Ovis aries: one gene and its partners. The protein of the gene in region 2 purifies or fractionates together with the protein of the main gene of each other region. This does not show direct contact. Links are inferred from orthologs where the notes say so. Each region holds a gene or a part of one and is shown on either strand. Other genes may lie near its edges.

Region 1 (7,422 bases), on a different chromosome or scaffold from region 2:
TAATTGTGACATGGAAATTACAGCTAAATTACACAGCTACGGACTAATTTCCATTAACTATTTCAGGTCTCTCTTGCTATATCCTGGCAGAAGAAAAAGAGAGAAAAAGAATTTCTTTCCCTTAAGTAATTTACTCCTAAGTCCACCATATGACTATGTAAAAATATAACCTGGAGTTCCTAGAAGTCCAGGCTACACACTCACATTAGCCTTTTGTTGTATTTATTAAATGCGACAAGACGGGGACTCAAGGTGAATTCAGCATTCTCAGTAATGATTAGAAACAAGAACAGATCATTTCTTTCAAGTGTGCAGTTACTGATTAATTTTCTTTGGCAGCAAAGAACTAGCCAATTCAAGTTTTTCTCCTAAAAGATAATTTCTTTTATTGTGAATATACCAGTGTAGTTTTCTAAAAAGCATGATAGTTCAAAGATAACTGTTATCTTCACGAAAACATGTAAGAGCATTACATCAGAATATTATATCTGAAGACAACTGAAGGCATTTTCTGACACTACCTAAAATATCCACAAATTCTGTTTATTTCTCATCACTTAATGCTTGTGGCAGGAGCCTGAATGCCATTTGATCCAATTTTTTAAAAGTCAGACAGTATTACTTACTAAAAAATATATTCTTATTCGCTCTTACTAAAAAGTTAACCTAACCAATTAAAATTAAAGAAAGGAAAGGAAAACCCTCAAACTACTCAGATGCTGGTAATGGTATGGATGGAAGGGAGTATGAAACAAAACAAGGACAAATTTACTCTCTGGGAACAATTAAAAAAATGAAACTTCGGTTTGATGTAAGAATCACCAGGAAGTGGGAAAACTGAGGAAGACTCCTATGTAAGTGCTTCTCCTTTGTTTTTGAAACCAGAAGTGGCTTGTCACAATGTAAACATGGAAAGGAGTACCATGTGGAATAGTGATTAGAAAGGTGAAAGAATGACTGTTACCTGCCTTCTGTGGAGAAGACAATAAAGTAGGAAGTGTTTATCCATGCTTTAAGGCTTGTGCTTAGTGTGGATAAACACAATTCAAGTTTAGTACAAAAACTATTCTTTCTAATTTTATGGAAAAACACCCACTCCAGTATTCTTGCCTGGAAAATTCCATGGTCAGAGGAGTCTGATGGGCTACAGTCCTGGGGTTGCAAAGAGCAGGACGCAACTGAGCATACAAGTTCAGGTTTAAGTATCAGATAAAATTTTCGTTATATATACCAGCACTAGTTGCTAAGCTGAGTCCCACTGAATGGACAGTCTAACATGGGCCAGTAGATCAGGGTGCAAAGTATCAAACGCTGACCATCAAAGGAATAGCTATCTACCATAAACAGCTTTCAAGGTTGTAAGATGAGTGCAAAATACGACGTGTAATTGGTAATTTAAATGTTTGGCAACAAACCTCAAAGTCAAATTTCCTTAGAAATATTTGATCTAAAGTTTTGTTTCTAAAAAGATCAACATGAAATGATACATGTTAAAAAGGTAGCAAAGTTCTATCACATCTAAGAAAACCAAGACAGAGTCTCAAGTGAATTTAAAGTCTCTCAGTCGTGTCCAGCTCTTTGCAACTCCATGGACTGCAGCCTACCAGGTTCCACCGTCCATGGGATTTTCCAGGCCAGAATATTGGAGTGGGTAATCTTTCCCTTCTCCAGGGATCTTCCCGACCCAGGGATCGAACCCAGTTCCTCCGCACTGCAGGCGGATTCTTTACCAGCTGAGCCCACCAGGGAAGATAGAGCTTAGCCAATAATAACAAGAAAGTAATTATTTCAGTACCACTTCCCTGGTGGCTCAGACGGTAAAGTGTCTGCCTACAATGCCTTAGACCCAGGTTCAATCCCTGGGTTGGGAAGATCTCCTGGAGAAGGAAATGGCAACCCACTCCAGTATTCTTGCCTGGAAAATCCCATGGACGGTGGAACCTGGTAGGCTATAGTCCATGGGGTCGCAAAGAGTCGGACACGACTGAGCAACTTCACTTCACAATTATTTCAGTAACAGCAGGCAACAGGTTCCCCGGATAAGAATCTCCATCAAAAAAAAAAAAAAAAAAAAAAGGCAAAAAACACACTGCACCTAGACAGAAACAGAACACAAAATTTCACAGGCTGAAATATCAATATGATCTTCGAAAGGGGTTTTAAACTTACCAGTTTTCTAAGTTTTCTCTCTCTACCAAAACCAAAAACCCAACAGCAACAAATCTAAGGCTTTCACCAACCCAAGAAGTGAGGTTTAAAAAATAAACACGGTAGAGGGTTCTGATGTTAATAAAAGGGGCATTACTAAAACTACTTCCAAAATCAAAAAGAAAGTCAACTCAAACCCCACCCCTGGCTCCTGGAGGGGAGCGTGGCTTTCCCTAGTCAGTGGCCGTCGAGAACTAAACGCCCCAGCCCCAAGGAGCTGGGGGAGGAAGGTAGCGAAGGGTGAACGCTAATTTCGCCGACAATACTGTAAAATAAGCAAACCACCGCTCCTGGCCAATTAACTAAGCGCGACTCAAAGTTCCACCACGTAATTTGGGCCTGGACCTTTTTTTTTTTTTTTTTTAAAGCAAACAACGTAATTGAAAGCAGAGTCATTTCCCTCTTGGTATTTTATTCATGCTGGAAATAACATTCAAATCGAAAAGGTAGCAAAACAAAAGAGGAAAAAAAAAAAAACACAACACAAGAAAATTGAGGGAAGTGGAAGCGCGCGGGACGTTTCACTGGGGTTTTTTTCCCTCCTCAGGAGCCTTGACTCTCCGGCCTGCATTTTAAATTCCCAGTCCGGCCGGGCGCGGGTCGGACCCCCGAAAGCTGCCCGCGGCGCCGGGGGGTCCCACCCTCTGCGGAGGGAGGAGAGAACGCGGCTCCCGCGGCGGCGGCGGCCGGACGCGCGGAGCGGCGGAGAGTGGACTCCACTCGGGACCGAGTCGGGGGCTCCCGGCGGGCGGGCAGCTCCTCAGGGCGGGCGCCGGGCAGCTGCGGGAACTTTCCCTCCCTCCGTGCCCGGCCGCGGCCCACACGCTCAGGCGCAAACTTTGCAGACGGCGCCGCGAGCGGCCGGGGTCCCGCCCCGCGCCCCCCAGCCGAGACCCCGAGCGCCCCGGCCCCGGCCCCTCGTCCGCCCTGCGTGCCCCGAGCCCGGCCCGAGCTGGGTGGGCCCCGGCGCGACCCCTCGGCCTCCCCGGCGGCGCCGCCGCCCGCGCCCCCGCCCCCGGCCGCGACCCTCCCCCGCGCCGCCGCAGGGCCGAGCGGCCGGCCCGGGGCCCGGGCCGCGCTCCCCTCACCTTGGTGGCCATGGCGGGCGGATCTCCCCCCCGCCCTCGGCCCGGGACGGTCGGCTCCTCTCCCGCGCCGCGGCTATCGGCCCCAGGCGGCCGGACGAAAGCGAGGGCGGCGGCGGCGGCGGCAGCTACGGCTGGGCCCCGGCGCGGCGGCGGCTCCGCCCCGGCCCCGAGTCTCGGCTCTGGGCGACTCCAGCCGCCGCCCCGCTCCTCCAGTTCCTGAAACTCCCCGGCTGCGCGGCCCCCGCCCCCGCCGGCCGAGCCTCCCATCTACCGCGGCGTGCGCGGCGCGGCCGGCGGAAGCGCGCCCGGTGCCCTGGGCCGGCCCGGCCTCCTCTCCCACTTTCCGCCCCCGCCCGGAGCCTCCGCCTCGGGCCGCGCCGCCGGCGCCCTTTGTCGCAGGGCTCGGGGCCGCGTCCCCCGAGCGGCGGCCGGGGTCGGGCCGGATCATGGTCCCCCCACCGACCGCGTCCCGCCTGGCTGCCCCGCCGTGGGGACGGTGGACGGGAGTGAGGGACACGCTTATGAGGGAGCGCCTGCCGGGGAGCCGAGTCCCGAGCGGCCCTTCAGCCGGTCACCGCGACTGAAGTGTTTCGCTGTGGAGATACAACGGGGCCCCCCAGCACGACGGGCTCGAGTCGCGGACGGGGTCTTTGTCCCGCGTCGGCATGGCTGTGGGGCCGGTCGTGCTCGGGGCTGAGTGAAATGAGTGTGGAGAACGCAGCCGGCACGGAGCGCAGCAATGGCTTCCAGGTCCGCTGGCCCTTCGCGGAAGACCCGCCGCCCGCCTGGAGTTGCCCGCGGGCTGTGGTCCCCGGCCCGGAGCTTCAGGGCCCCGACGCTTGGGGCTTTCGTTCTGAGGCGTCCCGTTAACCTCCTTCTGGACTCCTGATAAATTTAAAAAACGCCTCCGGGCCCCGGAGGTTAGGGGGAGACCCAACAGGTTTCCCGAAATGGAAATTTTAGAAGTCTTAAAAATTTCCATTTTTCTTCAGAGTTGGATGTGTGTCCTTTGTTATCAATAATACATGAATGAGTTGAATAGCAAGATTTTCGCTCAAGTACGAAAGATGTGACTGAAAGACATCTCTTGATGGAAATATTATTACAGTACATTCTATTTTATCACGGGGATATGTACCTCGTAAAAGAGGCAACTATCAAAATTCATCTTTAAGCGAGGAAAGCGGTACAATTAATGTCAAATTTTGTCCTCTCGAAAATATTCTATTTGATCTCCAGAAATTTAACTGGTTACCTTCTACAAAGAGGTTTTAAATGGATATGGTACTAAAGCATTTTCGGTGAATTTTTGTGTTTGTTGAGTTCGGGAGCTACGGCTATTATCAATCATGCTGTTTGTTAGTCGCTCAATCGTGTCCGACTCTTTGGGACCCCGTGGACTGTATCCCACCAGGCTCCTCTGTCCTTACTGGAGCAGGGTGCCATTTCCTCCTCCAGGGAATCGTCCCAACCCAGGGATCGAACCAACGTCTCCCGCATTGCTGGCAAATTCTTTACCACCTGAACCACCAGGGAAGCCCAGGTGGCCCAAGTGAGAAAGAACCTGCCTACCAGTGCAGGAGAGGTGAGAGACATGGGTTCCATCCCTGGGTGGGAAGATCCCACGAAGGAGGGAATGACAAACCACCCCAGTATTCTTGCCTGGAGAGTTTCATGGACAGAGGCGCCTGGTGGGCTACAGTCCATGGGGTCTCAAAGACTCAGGCACGACTGTGAAACTAACACAAGCAACTAAGACCCCACATGCCATGCACAGCTTTGCCAAAAAAAAAAAAAGAGGTAATGATAAAAGGAACATTCTGTACAGTACAATCCATTTGTGTAAAAGAACAAAATGAAAATAGGTAGTATATACCTAAGAAATTGCTGAGAAGATTCACTAGAGGCTACTGTCAGAATTTTTGAATATGTGTGTGTGTTGCTTTATCTTTAAAAAAAATTTACATTTTAAATATTCATTTTTATTTATTTGTCTGTGCCGGGGCTACTTGTATTGTGAGATGTGGGATCTTTAGTTGCACCATGTAAAGTCTTAGTTGCAGCATTTGGGATCTAGTTCCCTGACCAGGGATTGAACCTGAGTGCCCTGCATTGGGAGCGTGGAGTCTTAACCACTCAGCCAACCAGGGAAGTCCCAAAGCAAGTTTACATTTTAACAAACAACTAAATAAATCCCTTGGCTAAGCACACAGTAATATGTAGAGAAGTCAGGATTTGAACTTGGATAATACTGTAAGTAATGAATTTTCCTTATTTTCTATTTGAAAACTGGCTGCAGCACCCTGTAGCAGTTTAGCAATGCATATTTTGATAAGAAGATGCAAAGTGAGGATCCCTCCTGTGACTGTGCCTTTCTGTATGCTTATTTGGCAAGTTCTGGATACCCAGTCATCCTGGGCACCAAGAAAGCAAGCAGATCAGAGTCCAGGCTTTCCCTACTTGGACAAGTTCTGTAAGCCTGGCTCATTTTTAGAAAACCAGTTGACACCAAACTCAGAATGACCAATGCAAATTAGCATAAATGTTTAAATAAAGGTGAAGTCACTACTTATGTTATTGAGATGGGCATTAATTTATAGAGCCTGGAAGAGTAGTCACTGACATAATCCTCATGCGAACCTGATGTTCAGCTCCATCTCACACTGCCCTCCCCAGGCTCTGCTTCAACCATCCTGGCCTCCCACATCCTCCTGAATCCTGATCTTTACATTCTGTTCCATGGAGAAGGCCAGGACTGGCTATGGGGCGTGTGACCTCTGTCGTCTCACAGGGCCTCATCCTTGCTTTAATGTTCTGTTCTCGCCATCTTTAAATTTTTAATAGTTTTGAACAAGGGGCTTCACTTTTTCATTTCGTGCTGGGACTCTCAGGTTACCTTGTTGATGTTGTTTCTTTGAAATACCCACCAATCACCCCTCCTCCTCCTCCACACCAACACCCACTAACCTCCCACTCATCCTTCAGAGCTGCCCAGAACCCTTGCAACAGACAGAGTTTGTTGGGGATATCTTCCCTGTCCCCAGTCTAAGTCAAGTTCTGTTGATACAGAATTTCATGTACTGGTTTCCTTGCCTTTGGAAACAACAGCTTGTCATTCATTTGCCTGCCTTTCCCACCAGACTGTTAGTTCAGGAGAGGAAGCCCTGTGCCCCTGTCTTGCACCAGACTCTAGCATCATGCCAAGCTCAGAATAAGTCCCTGCTAATACTTTGTGAAATGAATGAATAAATGAATGGATGACAGGTTTTGGAAATACAAATTAAGCAATATATTCAGTGTTCAATGGCATTTGCCTGAGTTTGCTTGCTTGAAAGAATTCTGTGGACCATGTTTAAAAACCACCATCTCTATCATCATCTAAGTTAATGTGACATATTACACAATACAAATCTTTTGAATGTTTTATTAATCAATAATGTTTTTTGCAAAAATACCCTTCAGAACTGTTATTCCTCTATGACAATGTTTTATGAGGTAATGTTGATTTTGACTGGTATAATTGAAAATGAAAATGCTCAACTTGGCAGTATTTATTGGAGATGCAGTACCCAGTTTATTAATAAAAATGCAATAAATAAATAATTGTGTTTACAATAATATGCTTTAGATGCTCTTTAGCATGACATCTTTTTTTGTTAGCCATGACTAGAGGCATGCAGGATCTTAGTTTCCGGCCAGGATGGAACCTGCGCCCCCTGCAGTGGAAGTCTTAACTGCTGGACCTCCAAGGAAGTCCCTAGTGTGACTTAAAATTGAAGTGCACATCTCCTATGCACTTTCTAGTTATTGGTTGGCTTTTATTTGTCTTGGAGGTAATTACCACATACCTGAAATGATAAAATGGTAATCCTCTCATTTATGGGTTTAAAACTGAGACCAGCATAGTTAAATGACTTATCCATGGCCATGAATTAAGCCAGAGCAGAGGCTAGAGCCTAATTCTCTTATCTCAGTCTCCAAAATGTGTCATTTTCAAATTAAAAATATTTTAGGTAAGAGGTTTTGAGGGCAGTGGTGATGGTCAAGACAATCCCAGCTTTGGGATTTGGGAATTCCATGGCGGTCCAGTGGTTACGACTCCACGCTTCCAGGGCAGGGAGCACTG
Region 2 (7,422 bases):
AAAGTTCATGAGTTGAGTAGAGTCCTATAAACCCAGATGTAGACCAGAAACTAGATAAGACTGACAAAATAATGGTCAACGAGAAAGAGCTTACTTTAAGGAAAATGAACACAAACCAATGTAATCCCCAAGTAAAGTAATACAGAAATGATGTTGAACATTAACAGTAAAGTTTCAACTGGATTGTCTTGTTAAAAACCAACACAAAACAGACAACACGGATGGACCTTGAGAGCATTATGCTAAATGAAAGAAGGCAGACAGAGAAAGACAAATACCATATGATCTCATGTGTGAAACAGAAAAACAAAACCCCCAAATACTGAACTCAAAGACCCAGAGAACAGATTGGCAGCTGTTAGAGGCAGAGCATGGGGGTGGGTGGGTGAAATGGGTGAAGGGGGTCAACAGGTACAAATGTCCAGCTAGAAAATAGTTAAGTCCTGAGGCTGTAATGTATAGCATGATGACTATAGTTTATAATAATGTACTGTATATTTGAAAGTTGTTAAGAGAATATGTCTTAAAAGTTCTCATCAAAAGAAAAAAAATGTTGAAGGAACTTCTCTGGCAATTCAGTGGTTAAGACTCTGTGCCTCCAATACAGGGGGTACAGGTTCAATCCCTAGCCCCGGAAACAAGATCCCACATACCACGTGGCACAAAGACAGAAAAAGACTTATGGTAGTGATCATTTTAAAGTGTATACAAATATCAAGTCATTATATTGTACACCTGAAACTAACATAATGTTATAAATATCAATTTAAAAAAGAAATGAGACCCACCCCCCCCAAAATCAAAAAACATAAGCTGGGAATTCAAGTCAAGTCCACAAATATTTCCCTAGGAAATACTCTGATTTGTTTAAGGAAGGTTAAAGATGAAACAACAGGTTGCATCATAATCTATTTACCTTGAAAAAAAAGAATGTCAGTGTTTGATTCCTTGTGTGCAATAAAGTCATTTTCAATTGTAATTTTAGTCTCTCAAGTAAATTTCTCCTATGGTTAACAGCAGGAACTACAAAACTAAAGAAGGCACCCAAAAGACACGGATTATACAGATGATTTGACAGTATGAGGTGTCTCCAATAATGTAATGTCTCCAATAAATGATTTCAAAAGAAACTTCTCAGATATGATGTAATTCTGAGATGTTATATGGCTTTAAATCTCAGCTATGTTACTTCCTGACTGTGAACAAATGACTTAACCTCTCTAAACCTCCATTTCTACACCAAGGAAAAGGGGATGACGATGATAATATTACAATTTCACAGCAATCCTCACATGAGAGTTAAATGAACTAATTCATGCAAGTGCTTAGAAGAGTACCTGACACACATCAAGCCATTGAGTGTGACTTGTGTTATACTCATAACTTATACAGAACTGTAACATAGAATTTGATTTCTCTAGGGGGGAAGATAAAAATAATCAGGAGAGCTACCACTGCAAGTTTAAAAGTGCTTCCAGTATATGAGACCAGATAGAAAGAGGTGTTTCTCTCAAGGCCAGCCGCTTGTTCCCTTATCAGCCGAACAGTTCCAAACCTACAGAACCAAGGGACCAGATCCTGGGATGTGGTCATCTCAACACTGTAGCTATTTTTATTTAATCCTCATAATTTAAAGAAGAGGAAACCGAGGCACAAAAAATTTAATGGTTTGCCCAAGGTTCACATCTTCCCATTCTATTCTTGCCTTTGGAAGTGGTACTGGTGTTCCACTTTTCAATTCACTTTTCTGTTGAATTTACTTTCATTAAACTGGTCTTCCAGTTTGATGAAATCTGGGAAAAATAAAATGAACTTATCACATCAACAGAACTGACCAACCAGAATCTAGGGAAGAGCTACTTCCATAGAACCAGCTGACATCCAGTTTGAATGGCACCAAGAGTTTCAGAATAGGGCAGGCTAGGCTAATGGAAATTTCTTCTCTGTAAACTAGACAGCATAGACAAAGATTGAATCTGGACAATCTAAAGGCAGGGGCTGAAAAAAGTTGTTTTTAAGCAGAATTCATTGTTGGGGGATGGCAGGATTTAAGTGATTGACAATTCTTCACTGATGTCAAGAAACCAGCCAACAACTAGGGGCGGTGGCTGGGGCATAAAGGGATAGGGACCTACCTATATAGGATAGTCATCAGAGATACTTTAGATGAAACATTAGTGGCAAGGAAATGAGATCAGCAGCTATAGTGATGGCTTATCAAAATCTTTTGATCAACCAGTCAACAGTCTTTACTGAGCTCTTATGTCCAAGGCAGAGTGGGAGGTAACACACCCTGATGAAAGGCCAAAAGTCGTTTACATTTCTATACATGTCATTACTTTTTCTAGCAGTCAAGTCAGTAAGTGAAACAGTTACTGGCCTACACAAAATCATGACTGAATTAATGAATATGCCTTCAAGCAAATGGAATAAAGGGGTGGGAGACTGGAGGAACCAGTTGAATGAGATTAAGAGAAGGTTAACAATGAAGCGTTTTTACAACACTTTTACTTCTTTGTAAACCACTTTCATATTTATTATTCTCTCAGTTAACTCCAAAGGCTATAAGGTAAGGCAGTTCATGTTTTTATTAAACTGATGAGGACACTAAGACCCAGAAAGCTTTATTGACCAGCCCAGGATTACACAACCCATGTCAGTTGCAGGGGCAGGAACTAAGAACCCAGGCTTCCTGCTTGCCTGCCCATTGAGCCCTTTCCTGAGCCACAGGCCAGAGCAAACTTGGGGAGAAAGCCAGGTGGTTAGAGCACTGGCACTTCACACCCGGGCCGAACCTGTTGCCCACGTGGCCTCAGTGGGAGGACGGTGCGTGGCTTGTCGCGGTTTGGGGTTGGGAGGTAATGGCAGGCTCCCCTCCTTTGTGGGTATCAGGTGGTTACTTACTCATACTGCCCGTTCCTCTGGACTAGGGTCAGCGCGCAGGGCTCCCGGAGAGGACCCTTCATCTCCATACCCTCGATAGTATGCGGGCGCTAGTCAAGGGTCTTCTCTACAAGCGCGGCCCAGGAGGGGACCCGAGGTGCAGGGTGGCGAGAGGCTCCTGCCCCTCTGCCCACCCTTCCTCCCCAGCGTCCGAGGCAGCGCCTCCCGCGCTGGCCCCCCTCTCCCGCTCGGCTCGGCTTTGGGGCCCGATTGCCCCCTAGCAGCCCCTCCGCCGCGATCCGCAGTCCCGCGGACCCCCACCCCCGCCCTGCGCGGCCTCCCCTCCCCCTTCTCTCAGGCGGATACAGTAAGGGGCTGGGCTCCAATCGGGAGCGGCGGCTCCATCCCGGCGGCTTCCAGGCTCGGCGGGGCTGCGGACTGCGGGCTGATCCGACGATACTGCCTCCCGCGTCCTCACACCCCTCAGCCTCGGCTGCGCGTCCTTAGAGAAACAGCTCCGTGCTGGGCGCGGGCAGCCCGCAGCCTGGAGCCCAGAGCCGGGAGCCGGGAGCCTGACCCGAGAGAGAGCGGCGCCTCCCACCCCCGCCAGTTTTCCAGGCCGCCGCAGATTCCGCCCCCTGCGGCCAAGCTGCGGAACTGCAGGCCAACCCGACGGACTGGGGGCGTCTCCCCCACGTCCAGCAAGGGATAAGTTTTCAAGGCTGTCTGTGACGCCAGACTTGTTTGGGGGACTTTGAAGGTTGCCATAGAAACAAAGTACAGTCATACCCATCAAATAACTCAAAGGTGTTGGGGCCACTAGGACCCACATCCTCCATTCAAAATATCCTTATTATGGTTAACAGAATGGACCGTGCTGGACCTACCGCTCAGATGTCCTCCCACCTCACTCCATCCTTCCACCCCCTAAATCGGAAAAATCCCCAGAGATCATACCTTTGCTTTCTCTGTCCCCCTTTAAGCTCACTTGTAAGCAGGCAAACACCAAATGTATTATCCCTGGCCCACATCCCTTGCCTAATATAACTCATTGTTGGCAAAACATTGGATGACAAAAACCCACGGTTATTTCACACAGCGATGCAGGTTTGACATTTCAAAGCCATGTGCTTGCTTGTGTCTCCTGCATTGCCAGGCGGCGCTAGTGGTAACGAACCCACCTGCCAAAGCAGAAGATGGAAGAGACGCAGGTTTGATCCCTGGGTCGAGAAAATCCCCTGGAGAAGCGCATGGCAACCCACTCCAGCATTCTTGCCTGGAGAATCCCGATGGACAGAGAAGCCTGGCAAGCTAGAGTCCATAGGGTTGCAGAGAGTCAGACACGACTGAAGCGACTTAGCATGCATGCACCTGGGAAGCCCCATATGCTTGCTCTCCTGATTGCTCCGTATCCAATCAGCCAACAAATCTTATTAATATGTTCTTTGGAATTACTTTTAGATTCTTTGTTTTCTTGCCATTCACACTGCCATCACTGGAGTGTAAGCCCTTGTGATATCTCATTTGACCATTTTACTCTGTTGACAGTCATAAGAATATTCTTCCTAGAGTAATGTTTCAGTTGTGTTATTCTTTTGTTCAGTGGTCTTGTATGGATGTGAGAGTTGGACTGTGAAGAAAGGTGAGCACCAAAGAATTGATGCTTCTGAACTGTGGTGTTGGAGAAGACTCTTGAGAGTCCCTTGGACTGCAAGGAGATCCAACCAGTCCATTCTAAAGGAGATCAGTCCTGGGTGTTCATTGGAAGGACTGATGCTAAAGCTCAAACTCCAATACTTTGGCCACCTCATGCGAAGAGTTGACTCATTGGAAAAGACCCTGATGCTGGGAGGGATTAGTGGCAGGAGGAGAAGGGGACGACAGAGGATGAGATGGCTGGATGGCATCACTGACTCTATGGACATGAGTTTGAGTAAACTCTGGGAGTTGGTGATGGACAGGGAGGCCTGGCGTGCTGTGATTCATGGGGTCACAAAGAGTCGGACACGACTGAGCAACTGAACTGAACTGAACTGATTCTTTTGTTCAAGACTCTATGCTGCTGCTGCTTCTGCTGCAAAGTTGCTTCAGTCGTGTCTGACTGTGTGACCCCATAGACGGAAGCCCACCAGGCTCCCCTGTCCCTGGGATTCTCGAGGTAAGAACACTGGAGTAGGTTGCCATTTCCTTCAATGCATGAAAGTGAAAAGTGAAAGTGATGTTGCTCAGTCGTGTCTGACTCTTAGCGACCCCATGGACTGCAGCCTACCAGGCTCCTCCATCCATGAAATTTCCAGGCAAGAGTACTGGAGTGGTGTGCTCATTGCCTTCTTCACAAGACTCTATGATGAACTATATATCAAGACTGACTTTAAACCTGTATTAATTAACACAGTGTGGTATGGAGGTAGAAAGACCAATGGAATCAAATACTGAGCCCCAAAACAGGTCTACACACATATGGAAAGTTGATACGTGGCATATTTGACTTTTCAAATTAATGTAGGGAAAATGGATTATCTACTAAATGGTGCAGGGAATATTGATAATCCACATGGAGAATTATAAAATTAGATCCCTATCTCACACCATAGAGGGGAAAAAAGTCAATTCCCTGTGGGTTAAAGATCTAACTGTGAAAAGCAAATCTTTACAACTTTCAGAAGAAAATAGGAGAATATTGTTATGACCTAGGGAATGGGAATGATTACTTATGACCCTAAAAAGGAGGAAGTAGGGGAATTGATTGACACATTTAGCTACATTAGATATCAAAATGTATGCACTTCAAGATAACATGAAAGTATGAAACGTGGCAATATCAGAATATAAAGGACACATATACTTAGTTACAAACAAATTGCACTGCTAGACATTTACTATATGGTTAACATGTAGCTGTTTCCAAAGAAGAATGTACAAGAATGTTCATCTGAGCATTTCTTTTTTAAGAATATAAAGAAATACAAATGAACCTATGGTCCATTCATACTGTGTGAAATGCTATGCAGCTGCAAAAATTAAAGTGGTAGGTCTCTAAATACTAGCTGATTCAGAAGGCTGGCCAGTATATATTGTTGGGTGAATAGAATAAATCACAGAACAGGCAAAAAAAAGATAACATCAACAAGTTAAAAGACAAGCCACAGGCTGGCAAAACATATTTTCAGTAACTATAACTGACAAAGGATAACCTATGAGGTTCTACACTCTAGGTGTCATACCTAACTCACTCTCCTACCACTCACTCCAACTCATTCTGCTTAATTACACTGTTCCATGTTATTCCTAGGATTTGCCAGGCACAGTCTTGCCTCAGGGCCTTTGTACTGGCGGTTCACTTTGCCTGCACTCTTGGGCTTCTTTGGTGTCTCAGATGGTAAAGCACTTGCCTGCAATGTAGGAGACCCAGGTTTGATCCCTGGGTTGGGAAGATCCCCTGGAGAAGGGAATGGCAACCCCCTCCAGTACTTTTAACTGGGAAATCCCATGGACAGAGGAGCCTGGTGGGCAACAGTTAATGGCATGGAGTTGCAAAGGGTCGGACACGACTGAACAGCTAACACTTTCAGAGAGATTTGCCTGCACTCTTAACTTCTTCAGGTCTTTGCTCAAAAGTCACTTTCTAAGAGACGTCTTCCTAGACAACTTTACTTGAAACTGCAGTTCAGGGGCTTTCCTGGTGGCTCAATGATGAAGAGTCTGCCTGCCAATGCAGGAGACACGGGTTCCATCCCTGGTCTGGGAAGATTCCACATGCCAAGAAGCAACTGAGCTCCTGTGCCACAACTTTCGAGCCTGTGTTCTAGAACCTGGAAGCCGCAACTACTGAGACTTTGTACTACAACTACTGAAGCCTGCATGCCCTAGAGCCCATGCTCTACAACAGGAGAGTAGCCCCCACTCATTGTAACTAGAGAAAAACCCATGCAGCAACGAAGGCCCAGCACAGCCAAAAATACATAAATAAATACATTAAAAAAAAATAAAAGTCATTGTGTGAAATTTTATAAAGGTTTTTTAAAAATTGCCATTCAACAATTTCCTTTCCCAGTTCCACACACACATACCCCCTATCTCTCTTCCCTGTTAATTTTTTTCTCCTGAAGATTTTTCACTATTCATTAATTTATTTTACTTATCAATTGCATTTATTGTTTACATTCCCCTATCAGAATGTGAGTTCTGGAAGGGCAGGAGTTCTTATATTCTTGCATTCCCAGCACCTAGAACCATTTCTAGAACAAAGTAGATGCTAGAAAAATATTGATTAAATGAATAAATGAATTTGTATCTTGAATGTATAAGAACCTCTACAAATCAGTGAGGAAAAAAGAAAGAAACCTTGTAGAAAAACTGACAGGGACTTCCCTGGAGAGCCAATAGTTGAGACTCCATGCTTTCAGTGCAGAGGGCATGGGTTTGATCCCTGGCTGGGGAACTAAGATCACACATGCCTTGCATGGTGCATGCCTTTCCCCAGAAAAATAAGAAAAAGAAAAACTGAAAAAAATATATGAATAAAGGGGCTTCCCTGGT
Region 3 (7,422 bases), on a different chromosome or scaffold from region 2:
GGTGCTGGCAGGGGGCCCAGACCCCAAGGTGGGCACCCAGCCAAAGGCTGGGCGTGGGCAGTCAGAGCCCTGTCCTCAGGTGCTCACCACCCCCCACCAGGTGGCACCCACCAAGGAGCGCAAGAGGTGGGCCTCCATGTAGGGATCTAACCTGAGCCTTCCCCAGCCTGGCCACCACCACCCACCTCTGTGGAGTGGGGCCCTCTGCTGCCCCAAGGATCAGTATGGTAGCCGAGCCCCAGCCCGCCACCTCATTCCTGGGGTGGGTCTGGAGCCAGCCTTTCTGGCAGGTGGAGGCCCGGTGAGATACAGGCCACAGGATCAGAGCAGGACAGTGTCCCACCTCTGGCCACCTCTCCACTGCTCAGAGCGGCAGTTGAAGCTGGAGATGGAGCCCTCCCCTCCTCCTGTGACCACCGGCCCTGCCCTGCCCCCTCCACCCCAAGTCGGTGCTCCTGGTGGGTGCATGATGGTGCTTTCCTGCCCCCTGCCCTCACCCCTCTTCAAGAGGCTCCCCACCCCCAACAGAAAGCTGCGGGGCTGCCTGAGGAGCCCCATCTGAACAAATGACACTGTACACAAACACTGCATGGCTTGTGGGCCACCGTGCCCTGTCTGCCCTCCAAGCTACAGGGAGAGACACACGTGCACAGGGCCTGCCCCACAGTGGGGCCAGCTTGGCCTCTCCACACCCACCATCCGGCCCCAGCCCCTTGCCTTGGCCTGGGTGCCGCTGCCACAGGAAGGAGGGGGCACCAGGGTATTGGGCGTGGGGAGGAGCCCCACTGCTGCTGTTGACCCAGGTGCTTCACTCCACTCCAGGAAGTCCGATGGCTACGGTTGCTTTGCTCAGGAAACCCTAACAATGAAGACACCCTCTGGTCAGGGGACACAGCCCTCCATTTAGCTACAAGTCAAATCGTGAACTATTTAAGATTCCTCCGTTATTTATCCCGCCCATCCACTGTAGGACTGTTTGTTCTCACACATCCATCCACGCTCGCTCTGTCGCACCTTGGTTTGTAATGCAGACGGGCTTGGCTTTGTCGTTTCGGTAGCCTGTGTTTCAGTTGGGGTGCTAACTCCCTTCCCTTCCCAAGGGAACCCCACTGCACTGCATATCCATCTCTAGACGCTGTAATAAAATACCTGTTTTCACTTGAACCTAGTCTGGCAGCAGTGTTTCTTCCTGGTGATGACACGGCAAGGTCCTGGAGTGCATAGGGCCCAGGGCAGTGCTTACCGTCCCCAAGCAGGGAGGACGGTCGCTCCCAGTAGAGGCCCCACCTGCTCCTGAAGACAGGCACGGTGGCCACGACAGACAAGTCACAATGACTTCCCCAACCCCGGTCTCAGAGGCCCAGCCCCTGCTCAAGGACTGACAACTATAACCAGGTCAGGACCACCCAGGGTAGTCTCCTTTTAGCCTTCCTAAACCGACTACTTAGCGACCTTAACGCCACCAACAAACCCTTCCTGAGGTCCTGCTGGCACTCAGACGGGGCCTGTGAGTGCCAGAAGCTCTGTAGGCTGGGTCCCAGCCCCCCTTGACCTTCCTGGCTCTGGGTTCCAGGCCCCCCCACTCTGTTGCTCCCAGGCACTTCAACCTTGAACCTGGGAAGAGCCTCGTCTCCCTCAGGAACGGCTGTGCAGATGCAGGACAGGCGCACAGCAGAGGACACACGTCCCTCTCTGCAGTCACAGCACCACTGGCCCGTATGGAAAAGAGGTACCTTTATTTGAACAGAATATACTGGCCACCCCAAAGGCAAGCCTTCCAGCACTGCCCAGAGGCGTCCGGCCAGGGCCTGCCCCTTCAGCAGGAGAATTCACAGTGGCCCCAGCACAGTCCCACGCCCTTCACAGCTTCACCTAACTTTATACATTCAGCCTGCCCAGCGCAGGAGAATTGCACCTGCCAGGCCCTGAGTCAACGCACCCAAAGGGCAGGGCACAGCTCATGGGAGGGGGCACTGGTCCCCTGGCAGCAGCAGGTAGCACCAACGTACCAAACCAGTCCAGTGGTTCCCAGTGTGTCTAGAGGACACTTGCTGGGTGGTTCCTCGCAACAAGGCAGCCGCTGCCCACCCTGGGGCGTTTGAAGTCTTTAAACCAAGACACTTCCCACAGCAAATCCAGGGTTGGTCAGGAAATCTGAGGCCGGGAGGGCAGGGAGGCCTTGTCCGACAACAGGACAGCTGGGGAGCCCCACCCGGCCTCATGCCTTCAGGCCGCTCAGCTGGAACCTGGCCTCCTCTGATATGCCAAACTGTTCCAGGGGGTCCTGCGTGGGTGGACAACAAGGGTGGTGGGCTTAAAGCCTGAGCCCAGGAGGCCCCCATCCCCCGCCCCCTGCCCCCACCCCCCCACACACCTTGCCAGTCATCTTCTGGATCTCATTCCTGTAGAAAATGAGGCTCCTCCGCATGAACTCGTAACTGGAGAGGAAAGCTGAGTGAGCCCCCAGGGCCCCGCACTGCCCTAGGCTCCGCCTGGCCCTAGGTTCTGTCAGCACCCCACCTGGCTCGACGCAGCGCAGCCATCCACTCCTGACACTGCTCCTCACTGCAGCACTCGAAGTGGTACTTCCTCTCTGGGTCCTCCAGGAAGCCTGGGAAGGGAGCAGCCCCCATATGTCCCTGCCCCTCCCACCTCCCCCACCCAGGCCTCAACCTCCTTTTACAGCCCCGGTCTGGGCCCACTGCTTCCCAACAGCTGGCTGTGGGTTGAATCGTGTCCCCCAGAAAACATACGTTCACGTCTTAAAACGTGTATCTCCCAAGACAGGGACTCTATCTGGACACAGAGTCACTACAGGCATAGGTAGTTAAGTGGTTAAGCTGAGCTCACACCGCAGGAGGGTGAACTTCTAATCCAATAGAACTGCTGTTAAGAAAAGCCGAACCTAGACCCAACCACACAAGAGAGAAGATCCCAGAAAATGAAGGCAAAGATGGGGAGATGTTTCTACAAGACAAGCTTTGCCAACGACCCCTCCAGAAGCTGGGCAGATTCTCCTTCAGAAGGAAGCAGACGCGCTGACACTCTGATGTCAGACTTCTCGCCCCCTAGAACAGGGAGGAATACATTTTTCTATTTAAGCCTCCCAGTCTGTGGCACTTTCTTGCGGCCTCCAGCGGAAACTAGTAGAAGCTCTATCTTTCCCCCTGCAGACCCCACCCTCTCAAAAGCACCGAGAAGAAAACCCTCCCGGATCCCCAGCACAAGCCCTGCTCACAGGAGAAATGGAACAGTTGCAGCGAGGCACGCCGGGAGAGAAATGCTCCCCAACAAGACAACGGCGGCCGTTCGGATCGCTTCCGTCTAGGCTACTGGGCCCCACGGGAGGGCCAGCGCGTGAGGCTGCCCGGACACTGCACTCAGCCTCTAGGGACTTAGGTGGGGCCACGCCGGGGCGGGGACAAGCAGCCTCGTCCCAGGCCGCACTCACTGATGGAGAAGCTGCTGGGTTCTTCGTGGATGACTCTGCAGTGCTCCAGCAGCAGGGCTCCAATGGGCTGCGGGCAAATAGGCGCATGGGGGAGGACCCCGGGAACCCGCCCGCCCCTTGCCCCGCCCCCGATTCCCGAGCCCGCCCTGCTCTGACACCCGACCTCGACCCCGCCCCGTCCCCGACTCCGAACTCCGAACCTAACCCCCACTCCGATCCTCTCTACCACCCTACCTCCGCCTCGTCCGTCCGGAAGTAGAAAAGGAAGTTGACCACCAGCTTCACCAGCCGCCGCTTCACCACTGCGAGCACAAGGCGGGATCGCGCGGGTTCAGTACCTGCCCACTCCCGCCCCCTCAGCCGCCCGCCCGCTCCGGCGTCCCGGACCGCTCACCGCTGCCTTTCTTGGGTCCCCGCATGCCCAACTCGGCTGCCATCTCGGCAGGCTGCCGGGATAACGCCTGCAGCTCTTTGTCGTTATAGCGCATGGCGCCGCCGGTACCCAGAACGCGGAACGCCGGCCGCGCCCTCCCGGCCGCCGTCCCAACGCTCGCCGAGGCCGGCGCCAAGGGTCCTACGGCGCCGTCCCGGAAGCGCAGCCGGAGCTACTACGCCTGCGCGCTCCCGGGCCGCTCGGTCTGTCAATCACCGGCGTGTGGCGGAAGCGTCTCGGAGGCCGTCAAGACGGAGCGGGCACTTCCTGGGGCGAACGGGACTATAGGCAAAATGGACGGTGTCATATATGACCATGTAATAACGTGAACCCGGGATGGGAACAATAAAGCATCCCCACGACCGGTGGTGCCCGTTATTCAAACGAACAGGCGCCAGGGGTGGGAGGCGAGTCGCAACTACCCTCCCCGCGAAAACTGGCCCTGCGCGAGCGGTACTGACCGAAAGAACGAAATTATCCGGGGTGCACGCGCACTTCGACTTCCGGTTTGCACTCCGCTCCCCTCTTTCCTTCAGCCTATCAGCGTGTCGCCCGCGCCATTGGGCGGGCCGGGCATGCGTACGCAGGAGGCCCGGCCCGTCCTGTCCCCGGAAGTGCTTTCTGAGCTCTCGGCGCGCGTGCGCAGGACGAGGTCGTCGCGGTGGCTGTGGCGCCTGAATAGACCAAGGCAGTGTGTGAGGAGCCCGTGGACTTGACGAAATCGTGGGTGAGGATTAGTAGTAGTGCGAGACAAGGGCGGCGGCCCCGGGGGACTCCTTGGAGGGGAGTGGCTGAAGTGCTGGGTTGAGGGCGGCATCGGCTCTCTACCCGTCGGGCGCTGGGCCGGCCCAGCACCCCCACCCTCCCGCAGGGAGCTCCGGTTGCAAAGGCCCGTTGGGTCGGGTCGGGTCGCAGCGGACCCGGGGCGCCTTCCCTGAGTCCTCTGGTTTGCTGGCTTTGTGGTCCGGGGCTTACCTGGTTCCTGTAATAGGTGGGGGTGACGGCGCGCCTGGTTCCAGGCCCGCCGAGGAGTGAGGAAGGTCCAGAGGCGGATCTCTTGGCTCGAGGCCCAAGACCCGTTAGCTAGGCGCGTTTAGCGAGCGAAGCCCAGAGTTTAAATGACTTCTCCCCTTGTCACTCTGGGAGCCCGGCCCCCTTCTCCCTTCTGCCCTTTGGCAGCTGAGTACGAGCGACCTGAGCTTGTAAATAGCCTGAGTCGGGTGTAGAAGTGGTCTCTCAACTTCCTACCGTGACTGCTGAGGTCTCATTTCTGCCTCCCCCTCACCCGCTGCAGCCTCATCCTTCATACCATGGATGTGGTTAACCTGAGCTTCAGTCAGATTGTCAGTCTTATTTTCTAGGGCTGAAAATAGCGTTCGCTGCTCAGGCGGGTACTGTATTGAGCCGTGCTGCTTTTTGAGGGTACTGTTCTCCTCTTAACCCTCCCCCCAGAGCGCTTTCATTTCTTCATTCTTCCTATTTGTCTGATTTTGCTGGTTATTAATTTTTCTCTCAAAGCATCATTATTTCACACGCCTTGTTTTTCAGTCGCATCTGACTGACCCCATGGGCTGCAGCACATCAGGCTTCCCTGTCTTTCACCATCTCCCAGAGTTTGCTCAAGCTTATGCCCATTGGGGCTTCCCTGGTGGCTCAGAGGGTAAAGTATCTGCCTGTGATACGGAAGACCCAGGTTCGATCCCTGGGTCGGGAAGATCCCCTGGAGAAGGAAATGGCAACCCACTCCAGTATTCTTGCCTGGAGAATCCCATGGACAGAGGAGCCTGGTGGGCTACAGTTGCAAAGAGTCGAACACGACTGAGCAACTACACTTAACTTATGTCCATTGAGTAAGTGATGCCATCCAACCATCCCATCCTCTGCTGCCCCCTTCTTTCGTGGTTAGTCTTTCCAAGCATCAGGGGCTTTTCGGATGAGTGCGCTCTTTGCAAGCGTATGGGTTGTAGTTTGCCATGGGTTGAAACAATGGATGTCTTTTTTCTTTTCCTGCCTGCAAACTTCCCTCTCAGCGCTGGCATCCTCCTGTTCCACTGAGGACTGGAGCTCCACTCAGCAGCTGAGTAACTATCCTAGAACCTTCTGTCCAGGCTCCCATGGGCTGGTTTCTGTTTTCAGTCCCACTGTCTCCTCTTTTTCCCATCAGAGCTCTTCAGGTAGGTTTTGAAGAAGTCGACTCATTTGTTCAGTTTGAGTCCTCAGTTTGCTGAAAATGGCTTTATCCATCCCGACAGTCAGAAGTGTGGGTGTAAAGTTCTAGATTGAAAGCCCCTGATGGGAATTGGGAAAAGCCTTGCCCTGCCTTATGTGTTCCTGCTGTTCTGAAGGCTCTCATCTCATCCTGGTTTCTAACCTCTTGTTGCTGAGTTTTTTTCCATCTACTAGGAAACTTCATGGTCTATTTATTGGAGAGTTTTTTATTTTTTTAGGTTGTTTCTTTGATAATACTCTCCAAGTTTTTTGTTTTTCTTTTCTAGTTTTAGTTTTGTATTTGGACTGTAGTTGACTAACAGTGTTGTGCTTCAGGTGTACAGCGAAGTGAATCAGTTATACATATATACAGACCCATTGTTTTTCGTTTTGTTGCCCTGTGTAGGTCGTTAGAGAGCACTGAGCAGAGTTTTCTGTGTTCTTTATACAGTAGGTTCCTATAGGTTATATCTTTATTAAATATAGTAGTGTGGCCATGTTGTGTTCTCAGTCCAAAATTTCTAGGTTCTTGCTTTGCCTCCTGTTATCTTGTTATTTTGCTATTGTTTATTTTTCTGTTCTTTATGATAGCTTTGACTCTTATCTTCAGGCGCTCACATTCAGTGTGTTAGGCTCACTGCATCTTTGCTTAAAGGGTTTATCTAGTGTTAATTGGCCATGCTAATCTGTGGCATCCTGTTCTAGCTGTGGGAACATCGCCCATCATCCAAGAGGATGTTAACATCTTCTGTTGAGCTTTTCACTGAGTTTCCTTTTTCCCCAGTACATGCATTTCTTCACATCTGTTTAGATATCAGTTCTGCGTGGAGCTTCCTGGTGGCTCAGACGGTAAAGCGTCTGCCCGCAATGCGGGAGACCCGGGTTCGGGAAGATCCCCTGGAGGAGGAAATGGCAATCCACTCCAGCATTCTTGCCTGGAAAATCCAATGGACGGAGGAGCCTGATAAGCTACAGTCCATGGGGTCACAAAGAATCGGACACGACTGAGCGACTTCACTCTTCTGCATGGAGAGCAGTGCTTCTCTAGTGAGCTCAGTGGGCCTGGCAAAGTGCTGAGGTTTAGGGGATGCAGAGCCCCCAACTTTCAGTGTCTGAGAATACTGTCTCTGGTGCTCTCTCCCCAGAAGAAACTCCTGATCTCCCCTGTCCCCTGGGCTGGGGACTCAAGCCAGGTTTCTTGCCTGCTGGACACAGGCCAGGTTGGGGGGCGGGAGTGGGCAGCGTGGAGCCTGCTGCTCAACAGGCAGGCACCAATGGACCTGGCCTTACCCCAGCCTCTCTGAGACTCCCAACAGGTAGGCTGCTGAGT

The links. The genes of interacting proteins can lie anywhere in the genome.
Region 1: the proteins of OCRL (region 2) and SNX9 purify together in Homo sapiens (co-immunoprecipitation; 3 studies listed by BioGRID and IntAct, with this or other methods). This does not show direct contact. The link is inferred for Ovis aries from reciprocal best matches to the Homo sapiens genes OCRL and SNX9.
Region 3: the proteins of OCRL (region 2) and PLEKHJ1 purify together in Homo sapiens (co-immunoprecipitation; 3 studies listed by BioGRID and IntAct, counting the BioPlex papers as one, with this or other methods). This does not show direct contact. The link is inferred for Ovis aries from reciprocal best matches to the Homo sapiens genes OCRL and PLEKHJ1.

The regions. Positions count from the first base shown.
Region 1 is NC_056061.1:82,165,338-82,172,759, reverse strand, and holds the start of SNX9 (sorting nexin-9), read right to left. Parts: upstream 3,612-7,422; 5' UTR 3,564-3,611; coding exon 3,297-3,563; intron 1-3,296. UniProt on the Homo sapiens protein: Involved in endocytosis and intracellular vesicle trafficking, both during interphase and at the end of mitosis. Required for efficient progress through mitosis and cytokinesis. Required for normal formation of the cleavage furrow at the end of mitosis.
Region 2 is NC_056080.1:113,484,748-113,492,169, reverse strand, and holds the start of OCRL (inositol polyphosphate 5-phosphatase OCRL), read right to left. Parts: upstream 3,458-7,422; 5' UTR 3,289-3,457; coding exon 3,250-3,288; intron 3,203-3,249; exon of another isoform or gene 2,976-3,202; coding exon 2,905-2,975; intron 1-2,904. UniProt on the Homo sapiens protein: Catalyzes the hydrolysis of the 5-position phosphate of phosphatidylinositol 4,5-bisphosphate (PtdIns(4,5)P2) and phosphatidylinositol-3,4,5-bisphosphate (PtdIns(3,4,5)P3), with the greatest catalytic activity towards PtdIns(4,5)P2.
Region 3 is NC_056058.1:19,178,968-19,186,389, forward strand, and holds PLEKHJ1 (pleckstrin homology domain-containing family J member 1), read right to left. Parts: upstream 4,041-7,422; 5' UTR 3,940-4,040; coding exon 3,846-3,939; intron 3,754-3,845; coding exon 3,686-3,753; intron 3,519-3,685; coding exon 3,452-3,518; intron 2,612-3,451; coding exon 2,521-2,611; intron 2,439-2,520; coding exon 2,375-2,438; intron 2,285-2,374; coding exon 2,219-2,284; 3' UTR 1,718-2,218; downstream 1-1,717.